Schizosaccharomyces pombe: one gene and its partners. The protein of the gene in region 4 interacts with the protein of the main gene of each other region in a pairwise test. Each region holds a gene or a part of one and is shown on either strand. Other genes may lie near its edges.

Region 1 (4,479 bases), 780 kb from region 4:
ATTGACTCTTGAAGAAAGAGCAGCATTTAAGCAGCAAATCCGTGAAGAATTTGTTAAACACGACATCAATTTGTATCCTTATGATTCTGATGACGCCGATGAGGAGGAAATTAATCTAAATGCTGCCGTCCGAAATCTTATTCCTTTTGCCGTGGTCGGTTCCGAAAAAGCCATTATCGTAGATGGAAGGCCTATTCGTGGTCGTCAAAACAGATGGGGGGTTGTCAATGTGGATGATGAAAACCACTGCGAGTTTGTTTTTCTTCGTAACTTTTTGATGCGAACTCATCTTCAAGATTTAATTGAAACGACCTCATACTATCATTACGAGAAATTCCGCTTTAAGCAATTGAGCAGCTTAAAAGAACAGTCTTCCCTCGCAACTAGAATGGGAAGTCCCGCACCTGTGTACCCTTCTGAACCACATCTCCATACAGCCACCGCTCAATAGTCTTCTTCCTAAGGTAATATATAGTATGTTTAGAACAAAGACTAAACCATTTGTATGACTGTCGTACCGTAATTCGTAAATTTCGGCTCTTTTTACACTATGCGAATCTTACAAATGAAGTGTTTATCTTATTAACGAGAGATTATATGTTTGATGCGTGATTTTGTCTAGCTATTATACAGTTCTATATCAATATTTATTGAAAAGCATCAAAATGATTTTAAAATTAAAGTACTGGTCGATTTAAGACATTGCAATCCATAAAATGTTCTAGCATCAATCTTCCGAAATGAGATTCGATTTGTGCCCGAAGTTTAAATTCTTTAGAGTTTGATGCAAAAACATTTTGTAGAGATAATACGCATAAATAGGAAGTGCGTAATACTGCAATATCTGTGCATTCTTCTTGCATTAATTGCTGTAAGCCAGAAAGAACGTCATTATTGTTTTTGGTAACGGCATGTCCTACACAATCTATAACTTTAGTAAGAGGACTTCTTGATGCTGAATACAAGTGCACATGATATTCATCTCGCCAAGCAACCATTCGTTCTCGATGCAAATCATCAGACAAGGTTGGTTGAGAGAGAATGTCCAATCCAATAGTAAACAAAGAATCCGAAACAGGTGCATGACTTCGAGAAACAGAAACTTCCGATAAAGGCTTTCCATTAAACCCCCAGATACACCCACGAGGAAGAATTGCAAAAACTAGTTCACGAACGACCATAGCAATCAATAAGCTGACATAATTTGATTTGGTAGACGAAGACCAACTTAACTTTCTAATAAAATTATTACAAAAATTGAGATCATAGGCTGGGAGATTGAGCTGAGTGAGAGTCAAAAATGCAGAAACCAACAGGTATTCAAAAGAATTGGGACCAGGCATTGGACAGCGAAGAGCTCTGGTCAAATGACTGTAAGCACCAAAAACGTCGAGCTTCTTAATAGACGCAAAAGCCATTAAAGAATTAGCAATACAAGGCATCGATTGAGCAAACTGGGGAACAGTGACTGACCAAAAATGCAAGGCTATGTTATTATCAAATTCAAATGCACAAATAGAAGGTACGACATCGTGAAAATAAAACGGAAACAGTTCGGAATTAAAGTTTGAAGGGAAATTGGAAACTGATGAAAGAAAAGGGTAAGAGGCCTGACCCACCGATTGTACAGAGGGTTTTGTAGACGAAGTAGCGCTAGAAGAATTATTTGTAGGAACGTTATGATTGGATTGAAGGTATTGATGCTGTTGATAAGCACTTGGAAATCCTTGTAAATTCATAGGTTTTTGATGATCCTGTTTGATTGGGGTAACGGTGGATAAATTGGAGGAGGAGGTCATCTGATTAAGATCATTTGTATTAAAATTGGATTGTGAAGAGCCGGAAAAAGTGTCTCCGGTTTGAGCGCTACTTGAAGCAATTGAAGTAGGTATCAATGGCTGTTGAGCAGAATGAACGCTTAGCTCAGGAGGCGATACACTCCCCATGGCTTGCATTTGAGCAGCTGAATTTGGATAACCTTCACATTCCCTATTTGTCTTTGTGCAGTTCAAACAAAAAGGTTTGGTTTCGTCGCACTTGATCCTGCGACGGCGACATGTTAAACATCCAGTTTTCGTTCTTCTTTTTGTGGGCTTGGGCGTAGGCTCGACGTTTGGGTTGGGAATATATAGCGGATTTGAATTAATACTACCCGTTCTATTCCGTTTCATATGAATTTCGGGATAAGAAACATACGGGTTCATAACTGCAAGGGAAACAATAGATAGAAAAAAAAAGAATAACAAGATAATAGGAACTAAACAAATCAAAAGTAAAGAAAGCCCGATTTGAAAACGCTACGCTGCTTGAGAAAAGCGCGCAAAGAAAAAACGCAAGCACAGAACATGAAATTGGAAGCCGATTTATACAAAATTTAAGCTCCAATTTAACAAGGAAACTAAGCACCTTTTTCGTAAAGGCCAAGAAACTCTTTGTAGTCTTTTTTTTAAAAAAGGTAGCGTTACTAACTCTATAATTATATATATATGAATACAATAAATTATTTCAGAATAACCGGACGGCCAAACTGTTCGTAATAACAAAAGAAAAAGCCCTAAAAAAACAAAAGAAGGTGAAAATCAATGGTCGTCTAGCAATTTGCTAGCAACTCTTGCACAATCAATAGGTTTATAGGAAGTGACTTGAAAACAAAACTAGCAAAAGCGACAAGCTCACCCAATTTACAAATGCAAATTTGGGTGAATAAAGGACTTAGAAAAAATGTTGGAACAACTTTCAAGTAGGAACCTCGACATTAGCGAGTGATAAGGCGGCAAATTTGATAAGCCCAAAGGCAACAACAATACTAAGAGCTTTTTATTTAGACGTTAGTAAAGTAGCTTGCTTGATACGCATTAGTACAAAAATCCAAAGAATTGAGAAAATCACGAGCCAAGCAAAAACAGTATAAGAACGATTAACTTGTTTAACCTCTAATGTTCTTTTAAAAATAAAAAAAAAACACAGATGTTTCGTTAATTTTTTGATACTTAGATTATGCCCTCATGTGTTTCATAAATAGCATTCCTTGCTTTTCGTTTTTTTCTGTTTTTTTTCTTTTTCTTTCAGACAATTTATAAAAAAAATTCTTTGCATGTACCTAAATATAGTTTGCATTCTCATTTAGGTTGATCAAGTTGGTTAATAACCACGTGGCTTCGAATATCTGTCATGTTCAGGAGCCACATGTCTCTCCATTGTTACAGCGATTTGGTTGATCTTTACATGGCTTACGCATACGAAGATGCTTCCTGCATTTTTTTTTTATTTCAAATCGTTCATTCACTCTGCACTAGCGAAAATCTTCATTCATATGCAAACTTGTCACTCTTTTATATTAACAAAATATAAACTTAAGCTTGAATACAACTGTTAGCTTTGAACGCTACACCTACCCTAGTACCCTAGTAGCTTGATAACCATAGCGAAGATCCGTGGCCTATTGTCGATCTCTGGGAAACTGTCACTGGATCAAAAGCATCATGTTTCTTCGCTCGGTAAGAAAACTATACTCCAGATTTATGAGAAAGGCACAAAAAGCATCAAAACCTATGCCAATGCAAGTCTCACAAAACCAAATTATCCACCCCTAAAGGTGGAATTGTTCGTTGTTCGTGATGCGATTATTGCTTTATCAGGATGATTGTACTTAATCTCAATCAGATCACCCCAAGGTTAGTCGGCTTTGTCAAAGGTCTTACCTTTTATTGAAATCCATATCCTCCTGTAACAATAGGGGATTCACTATTCATACCTAGTTCACCCATTTTTCTCATTTCACTTCTTAAAGCAAATAACGTATAATAACAGTATTTGTTTACTGATGAGATTAACATTACCCGATGAAGAAAACCAACTATGGTACAGCAATAGGTAGTTAAGAAAATACATGAGATCGTAAATACCAAATGTTTGCCAATTATGAGCGTGAATTAGCATTAGTTTTTTTTTTTCTTAATTCATCTGTGTTTCAATAATACGAATTAGATTGATAAGTTTTTTTTTTTTTTTTTTTTTTTTATAACTACCTAGTACTCTTCCATGATGCGAACATTATAACAACAATGAGACCAAAATATCTTTAGCGATTGGAACAACAAGGTCACATTTCGGAAAAATGATTTGCCAGGCTGAAGATTTATATTAACCAACTTGTTCTCATTAAAAGCCAAACTATTGAATTTACAAATTTGTTATACGAGCATCAATCCTATTATAATAAAATCGACTCAAGTTGAATTGTAGCACATATTATTTATTCACGAGTCATTAAAATATTAGTTTAAACGTGTCAATTATCTTCCCATTAGCGCCAAATCCAAATAAATAAATAGTGAGTAACTGATGCAACATAGTGATTCGACGAGCTAAACGTTGAAATCTAAAAGAAACTGGTGTTGTTCAACGGATTGTTATGCTGCTGGACGGGGTTTTGGTAATTGGAATGGGCCTTTTAACGTGGTCCCCATCATAAACTCG
Region 2 (4,400 bases), on a different chromosome or scaffold from region 4:
GATGATGATAAGCGTATTATGGCTGAAATGGAACGCGAAAGGAAAGAAAGGGAGGCCGCAGAGCTTGAAGAGGCTAAAAAGTATCAGACTGCTGGATTCACGCAACCAGATGATCAGGGTGCTGAAGAAGGTCCTTTGGCACATGCAGACGATCATGTTGATTAAGCTCCCTTACTTTGTAAAAAAATTCCTGAGCACAGTAACCATGTTTTACAGTCCTCTCTCTTCTTTATTTAAATCGCTGCCCCTTTTCACTTACATATATAATGATGGTCGCGTTTTTTCTTTATTCTTATTTCTTTTTATCTCTTTTAAACATATGATCAAGACATAATTAGTAATTTTAGTGTTATTCTGCCCTCTTTTTTTTAACTTGGTATACGAACTCATAATGGGATGCACGTTAGGATGATGCTTGTTTCTTCAGTTGGTGCGCTTTAATGCTATGCCAGGAAAAAAAGGAAGCTCTTGGTCTTATTCTCTCTTTAAGGACTTTTTCCTCCAAAAAGCCTTGTACATACAAACATCTTTAGTTTGTTGTTTATTCGACAGTGGGTAGGGCAATCATTCTCTTTCTTTACATGCACCCATTAGGAATATATGCCATAGAACGCTGTAAATATACAAAGCAGTTACCATGGTTAAACGGCATTCATATTAATTCTATTACGATACTGATACATATCACTGTCGAAAAGCAAATTTCAGTAGAATTTGTTGATTAGTTTACTTAATGGTAATCTGCTCACGTAGCATGAAAAGAAATTTCAATTTATAAATTGTTGAAAACTTCATATTAAATCATTTCAATCGCATAGGTCATGTACAAATACTAAAAGAGGTTAAGTCGTCGAAGCTTTAATGTACAATAAAACGCGTAACTTCGTCTTTTATCCAAGAACCCTTGGTTTTTTATTCTTCTTTTTTAAGTTATTTTTCTTCGTTTTGTGAAGGAAATCCTGCCAATTTCCCACACGATTATCTCTTGTCTCTTCCCAAACCTTTTCTGATTCTACACGACGCTTTCGTTCTCTTGCAATTTCATCTTGACGCGCTTGTTCTCTTTGCTGGTTTGCTAAATCGAGCTGCCGTGCTCGTCTTCTTGCAACTTCATCTGCAATAAGGATTTCACGCCAACGTACTTTTAAATCAAATAAAAACTGGTCTGAATGGACGTCTTCCGAATTTGGAGACAATTTTTTTTCTTTCAATAGTTGGTTCCTTGCAGCTGTGTAAGCCGAATCAAGAGATTCCCGAATCTTATCATTAACTAGATCAGACTCCGCCTTTTTTAAAATGTCGAATGCGTCTGCAGCTTTTGGGTTATCGCGATTTTTGTCTGGATGAATCATTAATGATTTTTTCCTGTACAAATTTCGAATATCATCAACACTCATTCCTGGCAAAATATCAAGAACATCATATGCATTTAATTTAAAGGAAGACAATATTCTGTCAATCTCACGTCCCTAAGTAAAGGTTAGAATTCATCGACTTTGTTTGATTAGCAAGTAATATACGCATAGGCAAAGTTATTCTATTGTTTCATTGTAGTATATAATCTGTATAAACAAAAAAAAAAAAAATTCTGAGAATAAGATAAATCGAATCAACCTACTAAGGTACATCTAGAAATCTTCACATGCAATGTCAATAAAATGCTAAAACTTACTCTGTTTAAACTTCCTTCAACTCGATCTAAAAACTTTGCAACGTCTGCCATTTCTGACCGAGCCCCAAAATTGAAATTACAAGAGTGCAAATTTCAAAAATCCTTTATAGATAAATTTGGTGGTGAGTTAGGTTTTGCATTCGCCAACTTCTGGTATCGAGGGTAAGAATCTGTAAGTACGTTTAGAAACAGGTTCTTTACATTTGTTCTTTAAATGTAATAATGTATATGAATATACATATTCATTTACATATCGATGTGTCTAAGGTTTAAAAATTTACCGTCCGAGAGTGCTCTTACGAATCCCTAATTAAGTTTGAATATTAGTGCATATTAACTATTAATGGGTTTGCAATTTAAAATAAGATGAATGAACTAGATGCTACAGATCCATCTGATTGGAACCAAACGAAAATACCATCGTTGAAGGGCTTGGATTCTTCTTTACGATGTCTGATTTGTCATGAATACTTTCGCGCCCCCTTAATTACTTCTTGCTCACACACCTTTTGTTCGTTTTGTATACGCGATTATCTGAGAGAACATCCTATGTGCCCTGCTTGTCGTGCTCCTGAGCAAGAAAGCCGCTTAAGAAAAAACACTATATTAGAAGAGATTTTAGAGTCCTTTAAAGTGATCAGGCCAACATTGTTTGAATTCTTAAAAGTAGAAAATGTGCCAAAGCCAGTACTTCAAGCTCCTGAAACAGTTATCGCACAGGATTCAGCTTCTGGCGATGAGGAATGGGAAGACGACTTGGCTTCAAATTCATCTCCTGCTTCTATAGCTAAAAAGACATCTAGGGATTCTAAAAAGAGGAAACGTGAGGATTTAGTTCACTGCCCTGCATGTTCAAATTTAGTTCCTCATAATCAAATTAATCAACACTTGGATTCTTGTCTTAACTCACCTTCTTCCCCGTCTTCCTCTTCCTCACCTTATAAAAATAAGGATAATAGTAAATCTAATTCATTACTATCATTCAAAACAGATGATGATTCTATCACGAAGCGCAGGTTAAGGTCGTTTAACTCTGCAGATGAACTACCCTTGAAAGATCGAGTGCGGCTTCCCAAACTAACTTATGCACTCCTTTCCGAATCAAAAATTCGTTCCAAATTATCAGAGATGGGGCTTCCAACCGATGGACATAAACAACTATTACAACGTCGACATGCTAAATGGGTTACCCTTTACAATTCTAATTTAGACCAGAAACAACCTGTTTCAAAAAGAAATTTAATTCGCCAACTTATAGATTGGGAGCGCGTTCAGTCGAAATCAATTGGAGTAGAAAAAGAAAAACTAGGAGGGGGCGATTGGGAGAAGGCATACGCTGAGGATTTTGCTGATCTCATCAACCGTGCAAAACAATCAACAACTAACAAAAATGATTCATTGAGGAACACTGCTGTTGAATCTTCCACCGAACCTTCTACATCTAACGGTTTTCCTGCCACTTCAGTTAGTCCCCCTCTTACTATTGACCTTACCAATTCACAAACGGGATCCGATGGACCACAGTCCTAATCATTAATTTTCGTTGGATTCGTTTTAACGAATTTTCATTATCAGATTAACTTATTAGTTTATTTCGCTATATATAATCACATTAATAACCTGTAGAAATTTTGATATTTGGTAAATAAAATAATATACATTTTGAAAGTGGGGCATTTCTAGCTAGAAGGAATATTAGAAGCAGGTTGTTTGGAGACTTCGACTTCGTCAAGTGCTGCAACACACTCCTTCAAATCCTTCCAATCGATTTTTCCATAAAACAATTTTGCTTCCTCTACAAAAGGCTTGGCACGAAAGGGAATGCGACATCTCAACCAAGCATCGGCAGTTAATACACACCAAAGTGCGGCTTTACGAGTTCGCTTATTAGAGAACGGGTCCGTAGATTCAGTTTTTAAATAAGAAAGGGATTTAAAGAGAGTGTGAGTTTGTTGAAAGATCATTGCTCTTCCTACAGGACCCAATCTCTTAGAATAAAGCAAACCTGCATTCCAGTTAGCAGCATCGTCCACTTTTGGAGCTGGTAAACAACTAAGGAATTGTCCCAGGAGAAGGAAACAGCGCGCAGCATGATAATAGGAATTGAAGGATTTATTCAAATAATTTAACATAGCAGATTGCATATACTCGTTTATTCTCAATGTGTTCGTCAAACTCATATATGGCATTTTTAGGTGTAAAATATGTTCAGTTATTACAATCATTTCTAGAGAGGCAGCAGAATATAAGCAAGCACCATCATTTTCATACTGTCTTGATGCAATTTCATAAATCTGATTTGCATGAGAATAATCTCGTAGCATGAAGGAATAGTCGGCAAGTTTCCTAAGATATGCCTCTGGTGAAAATGGACGATAGGCATTAGATGAGGGGAAATAGTTAGAATTGGTAGAAGCATTCGAACTAGATAAATATTTTCTGGATGCAAATAACAGCTTACCGGTAATCCCTCGTCTCGGAGAAGCATATTGATCATCCCATGCTCTTACGCATTTGTCCAAATAAGAGACAATTCCGTTGAACGCAATGTGCGAAGATAACCGTCGCAGTGATTCATTGTCGGATTCAAAGAGTAATCGTATTTCAGTATCCGTATTAGATAAAAGGTGTAAACGTTCTTCAGCAGACAACCAAGAGGATGTTGGAAAAGGAACGGTATGTTCATAATCTAAGGTAGCCTTTTGTGAATGAAGGCGAAGAAAGTATC
Region 3 (5,469 bases), 1.7 Mb from region 4:
TAAAAGTAACGTTCAATTGGATCGATTCAACGTTACAATTTAAATAGACAATGATTTACTAGTCGCATGAAACCCACCCTCTATGAAGCAAACTTACCTTCGATAATCCATTCGGAAGATTCAAAATCTCACAATTAAGAACATTGCCAACTTGTCCCATAAACTCTTTCAACTCAAACCAACGAACTTGATATGACAAATTACCAACATACACGCGACGCTCTTGTTGAGTGTACTTTTGGCCATTTCCCAAGTGAGGGTCTCTTTCAGTGTGCTCTCCATCAAAATGCAAGCCACGTTTCAATGAATTGCTTCCGTTGACATGTCGCTTCGGAGACTCCGATCTGTCACGATCCATATTGGAAGACGATGAATTCAAGGAACTTGACACATCCAACTTACTACCCATTCCTGAATCAAATTCATTCTATTTGATCAGCTAAATCAATCAATAGTTATCATACCCATTCTATAGGTTTAGGCATCGCAAGAGCATAAGCTGAGTGTGCATCTTCACATAATTAAAGCATCCCAACAACTTGACTTCTATAGTGTAACTGCAATATAATTTCGTAAGTGATATACTGTAAACTCTTAGATTCGCTAAAAGAACAATAGAATAAAAAAACTGTAAACATTTAAATTATAAATATTGACATGTACTGACTAATTAATCATAGTAAGGAGTTTTAGTTGTTTGTAAATGAGTCGTAATAAAAATGGAAACTCAAACAATAACTAGGGTTAGAGATAACCTCAGTTAATATTAAGTGTTTGAAAAATTCAAAGACTGTGCATAAATTGTATCAACAAAAAAGAGACAAACGAATATATTAGGAGTAAACAAAAAGGCTTTTGGTACAGCACCATTATTATCATCATGAATAATTCCTTGAGGCAAAAGTTGTCCTTATTAGTTATAATCATAAGTTTGCACAAGCCATGTATTAAAAGACAATAAATAAATTTTCAACGTGATTACCAAAAAAATCGGTATCAGGCTAGGAATTTTAAATAAGAAGACAGACTCAATGCCCTTGGGATCCGAACTCTTTGTCCCATTCTGAATATCGTTCCAGCCCTTGCAAGTTCACACTAGGCCGGATTACCTTGATACTAGTTTTAAAGTCATCTAAATTAATCGGCCTAATCGACTCCATTTTCGTGAATAGCAAAGACTCACCTAAACTTCGCAAAGGCCCCATAGCTGCGTCTTTTGCCAATGCTGTCAAATCAGAGCCAGAGTAATATTCGGTTGCTTTCACAATAGCCTCAATATCCTCTAAGGAAAGAGAATGCTTCTGATATTTTAAAAGGTTATTTAAATGTAAGCGACGAGTGGTCTCATCAGGGAGGGGAATGTAGGTACGACGGACAAATCGTCTACGAGCAGCATCGTCGATACACCAAGGCAAATTGGTAGCGGCAAGCACTAGAACTCTTGGGTGATCGGCGGTTTGTCGAGATGCAGCTGCTCTTGCAAGCGAAGACCACTGAATTAAGAATTCTGTTTTTATTCTTCTCGATGTTTCATGCTCATTTCCATCACTGCTTCTAGCAGAAAGCAGTGAATCAATTTCGTCAACAAAAATGATGCTTGGAGACAGCTTTTTTGCTAAAGTGAAGAGAGCACGAACAAGTTTTTCGGATTCACCCAAAAACTTGGATGTTAAACTAGAAGCTGAAATAGAAAAAAAGACAGAACGGGATTCAGTAGCAACAGCTCGCGCAAGCATTGTCTTACCAGTTCCTGGAGGCCCAAAAAGAAGCATCCCCCTAGCTGGTTCCCGCAAGCCTTGGAACAAATCTGGACGCAAGAACGGATACACCACTGCCTCTTTTAAAGAGTGCTTAGCAAATTCTAACCCAGAAATATCATCCCAATGAACTTCATCACCCGAAACCACGATTTCTCGAAGTATACTCTTACCAAGCTCTTCGTCGATGTCTGGACATTCACGCAGAATTTGTTCTTGCTTTTCAGAAGTCATTGCAGAGATAGATGTGGATTGAAACTGCTTTTCAATAATCTCTTCTTCGTTTGTGTGGTTGAAAAATTCATCGCCATCAACCGGCGAATCTTTCTCTTCACAGGAAGAAAGCCCCTGTTCGGAAGCTGGATAGAGATCACTCAGAAAAGGGTTGTTCACAGATAAACGTGGCGGTGTAAGGAAATCCAGATCTTGCGCAGTTTCAGTGGAAGCAGATTGAGCTCGTGGAGCTGACTGAGGAGTGGGAGATGGCGATTTTGTAACTGACGAAACAGAAGCGAGAGATGGCGCGACGGTTGCGATTGAGGTAGATGACTTTGATAACTGTTTTGATATAGAAGGTACTTCAGTGGTACGATTAGGGAGATGGGATTGCGTTTTCTTTTTGAAGGGTGAGGAAGAGGAGGAAATAGAAGAGTAAGTTCGGCGGGCAGCTTCAATAACGGCGGAGTTATCGGGAGTTGGACGATGACGCTCAACCTGAAACGATGATCGAGATGCCTGCGCTGCTTCCGATGATATGTATGATGGCGGGAGAGCATGCTTAGGCTTAGATGAATTCAAAGATCCCCAAGCCAATAGAGCTGCTCGATTGGCATTGTTCTGGGTAGAGACTTCAGCTGGAAGTCCAGTCCTAGCAAGCGATTTACTTGGAGGAAGCACTGATTTACTCTTGACACTGGCCTTTTTAGCAGATTTAACAGCGCTATGTGTTTCTAGTTCACCAGCGCCTTTACGCAACGAAGTCCGCGAAGCTGTAGGTGAAGAGGACATAGATGTTCGCGGAATATTAGGTTTTAAGGATGCCGTTGTCACTTTAGATTGTAAAGGAGCTGTTCTATTTTGACGCTCAAAAGAAGACGCACTATAGTTACCATCATCGATAAATGAGCGATCGCCAGGACCATTTCCACTTATATAAGCAACATTAGCGCTACCAGTAGAAGATTGTGTTACAAGTGACTTTTGTGTATTTTGAATATCCTTATAAGCAGCTTCTTGTTGCGCAATCTCTTTGGTAAGGAACTCAATTCGAATGGTCAACTGCTCCAACATGCAGAGTAATGTTTCCACATAATGTCTATCTTCATAATCCATCACGTGTAAGCGTTCCCTCGCATACTTAAACTCTGGATTCATGAGAATGTTCCGCTTGGCCTTTTGAAATAAAGCGATAGCCTCCACATAGTCAGCAGTCTGCTCTTTATGAATTGCAACGGCGGCATATGACTGTGTGACGTTATAGCAGTCTTCAAGGCTCATTTTTGTGCATTCTTTAACGTCTACAACTGATTAAAAACAATTACCTTTCAATGGAAAGAGGTTAAATCGGCTCGATTGGAAACGTTATTCTCTTTCTATATTGGCTGAAGTGCACAAACTACACTTCTCCTTTTATATCCTATTACCTTATTAAATATTGTTTTCGTACAAGCAGAATGCGGCATGCAAATACAAATCGTAGATATAGTGATACAAAGTTAAAGATAAAATTTCTCACTAAAACCACGATTTTGTCGGAAAACTTGATAAAGTCTACAAAAATAAATACAAAACTAGCAACAGCACTAATTATATGCGTGAATAGAAGTTCTATGATATACGCACTGTGCTTGTTGAGTTTTAAATCTTTACGGTTGGTTTTGGTGTAGCGAAGAATAATGATGGGTAAATGACGCATCTTCATCATTTACACAAAAAAACTCTTTTTGCTATATGAGAATTGAAAATTAGTTTACTTACAATAAATAATACCTTTAAAACCATTTCACTATTAATCTTAATATTTGCTTGGTCCAACTCCGTTCACCAGTCCAGCATATTCTCATCCTTACTTATAAGATATATTAGTCACAATCTTCCACGTGTATCCCAAAAAAAATGTATAAAAATAATATTAATTGAATGTTACAGGATTTTTAAGGTTAAATAACAAAACATTTATTCTTTTTGCCATCATGTTCAATATAAAACCAAAGGAAATTACAAAGAACAACACTTCATAAAAAAATTGTCGAATACTTGTCTAACAAATTTCCATCATCAGCAAATACTCAAACCACCATAAGCTGATTGGAATTTCTGCATATAAAAAAATCATTAAAGAACGTTGCATTATATCATGTATTGTGAATTCATCTCAATAAAAAAAGTGCCAGTATAAACAACATCCTTTGTATCGTAAACTGCTAACTCATCGAATATATATGACCAAATGATTTAATTGCTTTGAGAATGAAATTATAGAAGTAAAAGTGTAAAAGTGCAACAACTTGATTAATGGGAAAACAAACCAATAGTGTTGCTAATGCACTCTTACGAGCTAGAATTCATCGACAGCACTTGAGCAGACTTGGTTCGTAAAATCGGATTCGTTCTTCTGGGGTGAGGGTGGCTGTAGTGTTGAATGCGTTGCAACTCACCGACAAAGCTTTGACCCCAGAATTGACTGGTATACTTATTAACATATCGGAATAATTTATTCTCATTAGCCTCACGTTGTTTCTCCGGCATAGTGAGGGCATCATGAATGGAGTTTGCTAATTCCTCCGTGTTCCATGGATTAATTACAATACTACCATTGAGTGACTGGGCAGCACCGGCAAATTCACTAAGAATTAGGGCACCATGTCTCTCTTGTTGAGTGCAAATGTACTCGTATGAAACAAGATTCATACCATCACGAGTTGAGGTAATTAAACAAACGTCTGAAACGTTATACAGAGCAACCAGCTCTTCAAAGCGAACACTTTTATGTAAGAAATGAATAGGTGTATATTCAACAGTACCAAAACGACCGTTAATACGGCCAACAAGCTCATTGACAACGGCTCTAAGATTCTGATACTCTTCGACATCTTGACGAGAAGGAACGGCAACTTGAACCAACACGACCTTTCCAACCCATTCAGGGTATTGTTCTAAGAACACTTCAAAGGCATGGAATTTTTGGGGAACACCCTTAATGTAGTCCAAACGATCGACACCCACAATCACCTTAACGCCTTGTAGTCTACGTTCGATGCTTGCAATGCGATCCTTTACCACGTCAGACTTCAGAGCATCAGAGAACTTTTCGGGATCAATACCGATGGGGAAGGTGCCGACGCTGACCATTTGACCATTGTATTCCACACCGTTAGGTAGTGTGCTAAGATTAAGGATACGAGAGCATGCAGACAAAAAGTGACGGGCATAGTCGTAGGTATGGAAGCCAACGAGATCACAGTTGAGTACACCTTCAAGGATTTCGTTTCTAACGGGTAAAACACGATAGATTTCGCTACTTGGGAAAGGAGTGTGCAAGAAGAAGCCAATTTTGATATCCTTAAACTTATCACCGATTAATTCACGCAACATTTGAGGAAGAACCATCAAATGATAATCCTGCACCCAAATTAAATCACCATCCTGCAGATTTTTGACAATGGCCTCGGCAAAAGCGTAGTTAGCCGCACGATAGGCCTCCCAATTTTCC
Region 4 (4,416 bases):
AGTAAATATATTTGAACTCTTTCGAGTTCAAATGCAACATACGACAACTAAGAGCCATAGATCAAGCGGTTACTTAATTTATTTCTATAGTTTTAATTTTCTATAAAAATATGTATATCAACTGTTTCAATAAATATTGTACTTATAATTTCGTTTTGCCAACTCCTTTGTCAAGAGAGAAAACGTAATTAAAAAACATGGTCACAGCCAGGTTCGAACTGGCGACATTCGACTTATTAGATCGACATGATAACCGACTACATCATGCGACCAACTGTTAACTTGATGATTATTTAAACCTATTTATAATAACATTAATGTTAAAAATATGAATGAAACTGACCTTTTTATACAAAAGGTATATATATAAACAAGAAGGACTTTCATTTTAATTTTGATAAGACAGTTTGAAATATCCTCCAATCCAATTTAAGATTGTTTCTAGTTTACAGATTTTCAAATCAGGAATTACTAAGTCATTTGCAACACTAAACATGAAGAAGTAGTCTAACTCACTATCTGCTCGATGTATATGTTAGCATATGCTTTCCTTGTGCCAGCCCTAAAGAGAAACTGACAGTGGTTTGCTTTTGCAAATGAAAAAATAAAATTGGAGAACATACAATTGTACGAAAATGCTACCTATCCAAATGGGTCTTTAACGAATTTTTTAAGCTTAAAAGTTGCCATATGTAGTGTGTTTGCTTGATTCATTAATAGTCATTTATTATGGTGCAATACTTCGTCAAGACAATAGTGATAGCTTTTTTAACTTATTGCGAGAACAGAAGATAGCAATTAATCTGATGTACAAATAACGATAATATTCTAATGACATCAATGGAAAACAATAATGAAAATAGGCACTCCATATTGCTTCCCGAAATTTGTACTTGTGGCATAGCAGATAAACAGGACGAACTAGATAAAAAATGAGCAAGGGTTTCTAAAGGAGAATAATTTCATCAAGTTTTTTTTTTTTGCTTCTTCTTAATAAGTATTTAATACTCAAGAAAACGTAGAAACAATTAGGCAACAATAGCACTGTGGTTTACAGTTACCCTTTCTTATACAGAAAAGATAGAGGTTATGACAACTGTTAAAACATGGAATTTTGCATGATGAACCGGTATTACTTTTGTAAGTTAATACAATAACAAAAAGATAAAAGTTAATAGAAAATTTAGGGAAAAAGAAGTGCAAAGCTCTGAGAATCATTCCGATATACTTAGACAATAGTAAAATAAATAAATACTTAGAACACGGACGGATTTTGCAATTTTAAGAATTAGGAAGTCCCGTAGATATTATTTAGAAGAAATTTTCCAAAGCATAAACGAAGTAGATAAGGAAAGAGCATTTTTGGAAAACAAACTTAATGGTCAAAACTATGACCAAATTAAAAATTCACGAATTCATAAACAAACCCAAAAAACGAAGACATTTTCGATATGAGCAATAAGCATATAAAAGGGGCTCTATGATATGGGTTGGTGGGAAAGAATGCTTAAAAGGGATTGTCGTAAAACTGGTAAATTATAGAATGAATAAAATCGCAACATTCAAAAAATGTTTTAAAATTATTCAAATATTTAAATTGAGAAATGAGTCTTGTCGCTCATTTCAAATAAATAATAATTACAAGAGTATGTCATATATGAACAAGAACTTAATGGAGTATCAGTTTTGCTCAGCAGTTGATTTAGTAGGGAATTTTTCCAACACCATTGCATACCGGGCAAATTTCGGTAAAGAATATAAAGTCAAGTTGACCACTGCCTTTGCAATTCCCGCAAACCCTTCCAGGAATTCGAGGGTCACCAGGATAAACAACTAGTGCACCAGGAGGTGGTCGACTGAATTGAACATCGTACGATCGTCCAAATCTACGAGCGCAACGACCACATGGCCTTCCGCTATCTTTGTAGCCAGTATTGTGGCATTTGTAACACATATAGCCAGGTGGATATGGATATGAAATCCTTGGTCGACCAGAAGGAGGCGGTGCGTAAGATGACTGAGGGCGAGCATAAAATTGGCTGGTCTGATAAGGAGGTTTCGCCGTGTTATAATTTGAAGATGGAGGAGGACTCGCGTACATCGTTGAAGCGTTTCCAGGTTGCCAAGAGTTTGGTCTTTGACTAGTAGGACGCGCAGGTGGGTATGGCGCTTGAGAATAGGCATTGCCAGATCCAGAACTTGACACAGGCCTTGAGTTTAGACTCGATGCTGCGTAATTCGGCAAGGTAGAAGAGGAACTTGAAGGGTGACCAGCAGAAGTAGATGTTTGGCCATTGCTGGAGTTTGGTGAATCAATAACACCTTCTTGCCTTAAAACCTCTTCATACGATGGAGGAGGGACAGAATCATCAGTCATTTTTATGATATACTATCACTTAATATACAGGTTGTTGTTGGTAAAGGAATGTTCTCGTATGAGATGTGATTGTAGTAGGTACATGCGTCAACTGATCCTCCACCAACTTTTACATCTTCAAATCAAGGATATCATTTTCTCGTATCCAAAACGCACAGAAATAGATAACGATGAAGGTTAAATCAATTCTTAAACATAGTCGTATGAGTTCTCCCTCACTTGAGACTGACTCAATGGAAAGTGGCCAACAACAAAATATGGTCTCATCAACACCTTCAATTGATATGAATGAGAGTGATTGCTCGGGCACAGGAACTCCATCGGAAGAAAGAATTCGTCGTCTTCGTTGGGATGAGGAAAATCTTTCAAAAGCTGAACAGCAGAAGTCAGCGAAAATGAAAATTACCGAACCGAAAACTCCTTTTCAACGCTTTTTGCTTCCAGATGATGAAGTTCCTGAAATCAATTTGGATGAAACTGACAGTAAGGACGACTTTACTGCTGGAACTTTGGGTGACACACTCGGCACTCTTCCCAGTACCCGGGTGTCAAAAGATTCTAAAGATGACAATGTCTCCTTTTCGAGCGACAAGAAACAATTTTATGTCAAAAAGGAACCTTTCCCGGTTCCTTGTACTGAACCGACTACTTCGGGTGATAGGTACACCGTCCGTATGAAGGCTCCAACACCAAAGTACTCTACAGATAATCATTTACCAAGTAAAAAAGAACTATTTCCGAGGGAAACAAAACCCCAAGTTGAAGTAGTTCATGCCAGAATTAATAATCCTGACGACCATTTACGTACTCATCCTTCTGTGAATAACCTAGGTAAAGATTCTGATCATGCTGATAAAATGTATAATGAAGGAGTAATTCTAGGAGAAGACGAAGCAATGGAAGAGGAGGCTTTATCTGAAGCTGAAGAGAACATTCCTAAAAAGAAACCGGACTTCAACGAACTTCGAAAGAAACATTATTTTGCTATGGCTAAGCCCTTGAAAAGAGATGAACTTGAAAGCAGTGGTACAGAGAGTGATTTAGAGAGAGATAATAGCGATTCTGGGTCAGCTTCTGATGTAAATATGAATGAAAATGAGTGAATCACTTTATTAACTTTACGCATTATTGAAACGTGAGTTGCAAGTACAAAGGATCTTGAGTTTCATTTATTATAACGTCAAACGACTGCAAATTATTTTTTCGACCTTCAAAGTTTTATTACATGAGCTTTTGCGTCTTCTCCGTTTACGTTTTTTATTCATTTCTATTCCCCTTTTTTGCCCTTTTCACTTTGGTTGTACAGTTGTTCTGCTCGGTTTATATTAAAACCTTTCTTATGAACTTCAAATAGTTTAACGGCTTTCATTTCATTTTTATGCCCTTTTAGCAGTCTAATCCTTCATTTATGGCCGCTAACCCTACCCATTCTTTTTTTTTCATAGTATACAATTTTTTATACTTAAATACTCATTAAGCACATTTTTTCTTTATTTCGTTGATAGGTTGCTTAAATTTGTATGAAACACGAATACAGTTGTAAAATGCAATGAAGGAAATAATAATATTGCTTAGTGGAAAATACTTCAACTACAAGAAATTGTAATCCTTGATTTAATAAAGACGCATGTCGATTGTCTTATTTAAATCCTGGCATAATAATATAATCCTGAATAAAACAATAGAGCTATAAGCTTCGTTAAGACTGATTAAAGGCATACATAGGCATGACAGATATGAATATTGTTAGAAAGGTGACCGACTAGTCAGTTTATACACCTCTCCGACCAGATCGTTTAAAGAATGTCTTTACAATAAAGACTTGAAGAGCAGAAAGAGCGACAACCATTATAGATTCAGCAAGACTAAACCAAAAGATGCGGGCTTGAGTAGACTTTACAGTAGAATAATTACGATGCTCCCGAGTTTTGAAGTAATTTTGTACACGGTCAATTTCAGATAATGCGGTTGAGATCTCTAAAACAGTACTTTGCATGCTGTCCTTTTTGTAGTCTTTGGCTTCATCACGGGTTAATGCA

What was found.
Region 1: the proteins of hua1 (region 4) and moc3 interact in a two-hybrid assay, tested with the Schizosaccharomyces pombe proteins (2 studies listed by BioGRID).
Region 2: the proteins of hua1 (region 4) and rhp18 interact in a two-hybrid assay, tested with the Schizosaccharomyces pombe proteins (2 studies listed by BioGRID).
Region 3: the proteins of hua1 (region 4) and spg4 interact in a two-hybrid assay, tested with the Schizosaccharomyces pombe proteins (2 studies listed by BioGRID).

What each region holds. Positions count from the first base shown.
Region 1 is NC_003424.3:991,075-995,553, forward strand, and holds moc3 (DNA-binding transcription factor Moc3), read right to left. Parts: upstream 2,715-4,479; 5' UTR 2,205-2,714; coding exon 678-2,204; 3' UTR 558-677; downstream 1-557. Other genes in the region: mitotic and meiotic (sporulation) septin Spn2, read left to right, coding at 1-451; ubiquitin ligase Slp1, read right to left, coding at 4,402-4,479. UniProt on the Schizosaccharomyces pombe protein: Induces sexual development and ascus formation. Also involved in calcium homeostasis.
Region 2 is NC_003423.3:1,068,220-1,072,619, forward strand, and holds rhp18 (postreplication repair E3 ubiquitin-protein ligase), read left to right. Parts: upstream 1-1,808; 5' UTR 1,809-2,038; coding exon 2,039-3,202; 3' UTR 3,203-3,351; downstream 3,352-4,400. Other genes in the region: mannan polymerase I complex subunit Anp1, read left to right, coding at 1-165; DNAJ protein Spf31, read right to left, coding at 891-1,469, 1,673-1,723; TRAPP III complex subunit Trs8502, read right to left, coding at 3,352-4,400. UniProt on the Schizosaccharomyces pombe protein: E3 RING-finger protein, member of the UBC2/RAD6 epistasis group. Associates to the E2 ubiquitin conjugating enzyme ubc2/rad6 to form the ubc2-rad18 ubiquitin ligase complex involved in postreplicative repair (PRR) of damaged DNA.
Region 3 is NC_003424.3:3,479,694-3,485,162, reverse strand, and holds spg4 (AAA domain-containing protein), read right to left. Parts: upstream 3,607-5,469; 5' UTR 3,255-3,606; coding exon 1,029-3,254; 3' UTR 558-1,028; downstream 1-557. Other genes in the region: hrb1 (RNA-binding and mRNA export factor), read right to left, coding at 98-427, 465-485; tps1 (alpha,alpha-trehalose-phosphate synthase (UDP-forming)), read right to left, coding at 4,308-5,469.
Region 4 is NC_003424.3:1,768,152-1,772,567, reverse strand, and holds hua1 (protein hua1), read right to left. Parts: upstream 2,420-4,416; 5' UTR 2,378-2,419; coding exon 1,703-2,377; 3' UTR 545-1,702; downstream 1-544. Other genes in the region: protein phosphatase regulatory subunit Glc8, read left to right, coding at 2,548-3,480; erp2 (COPII-coated vesicle-associated protein Erp2/3/4), read right to left, coding at 4,149-4,416.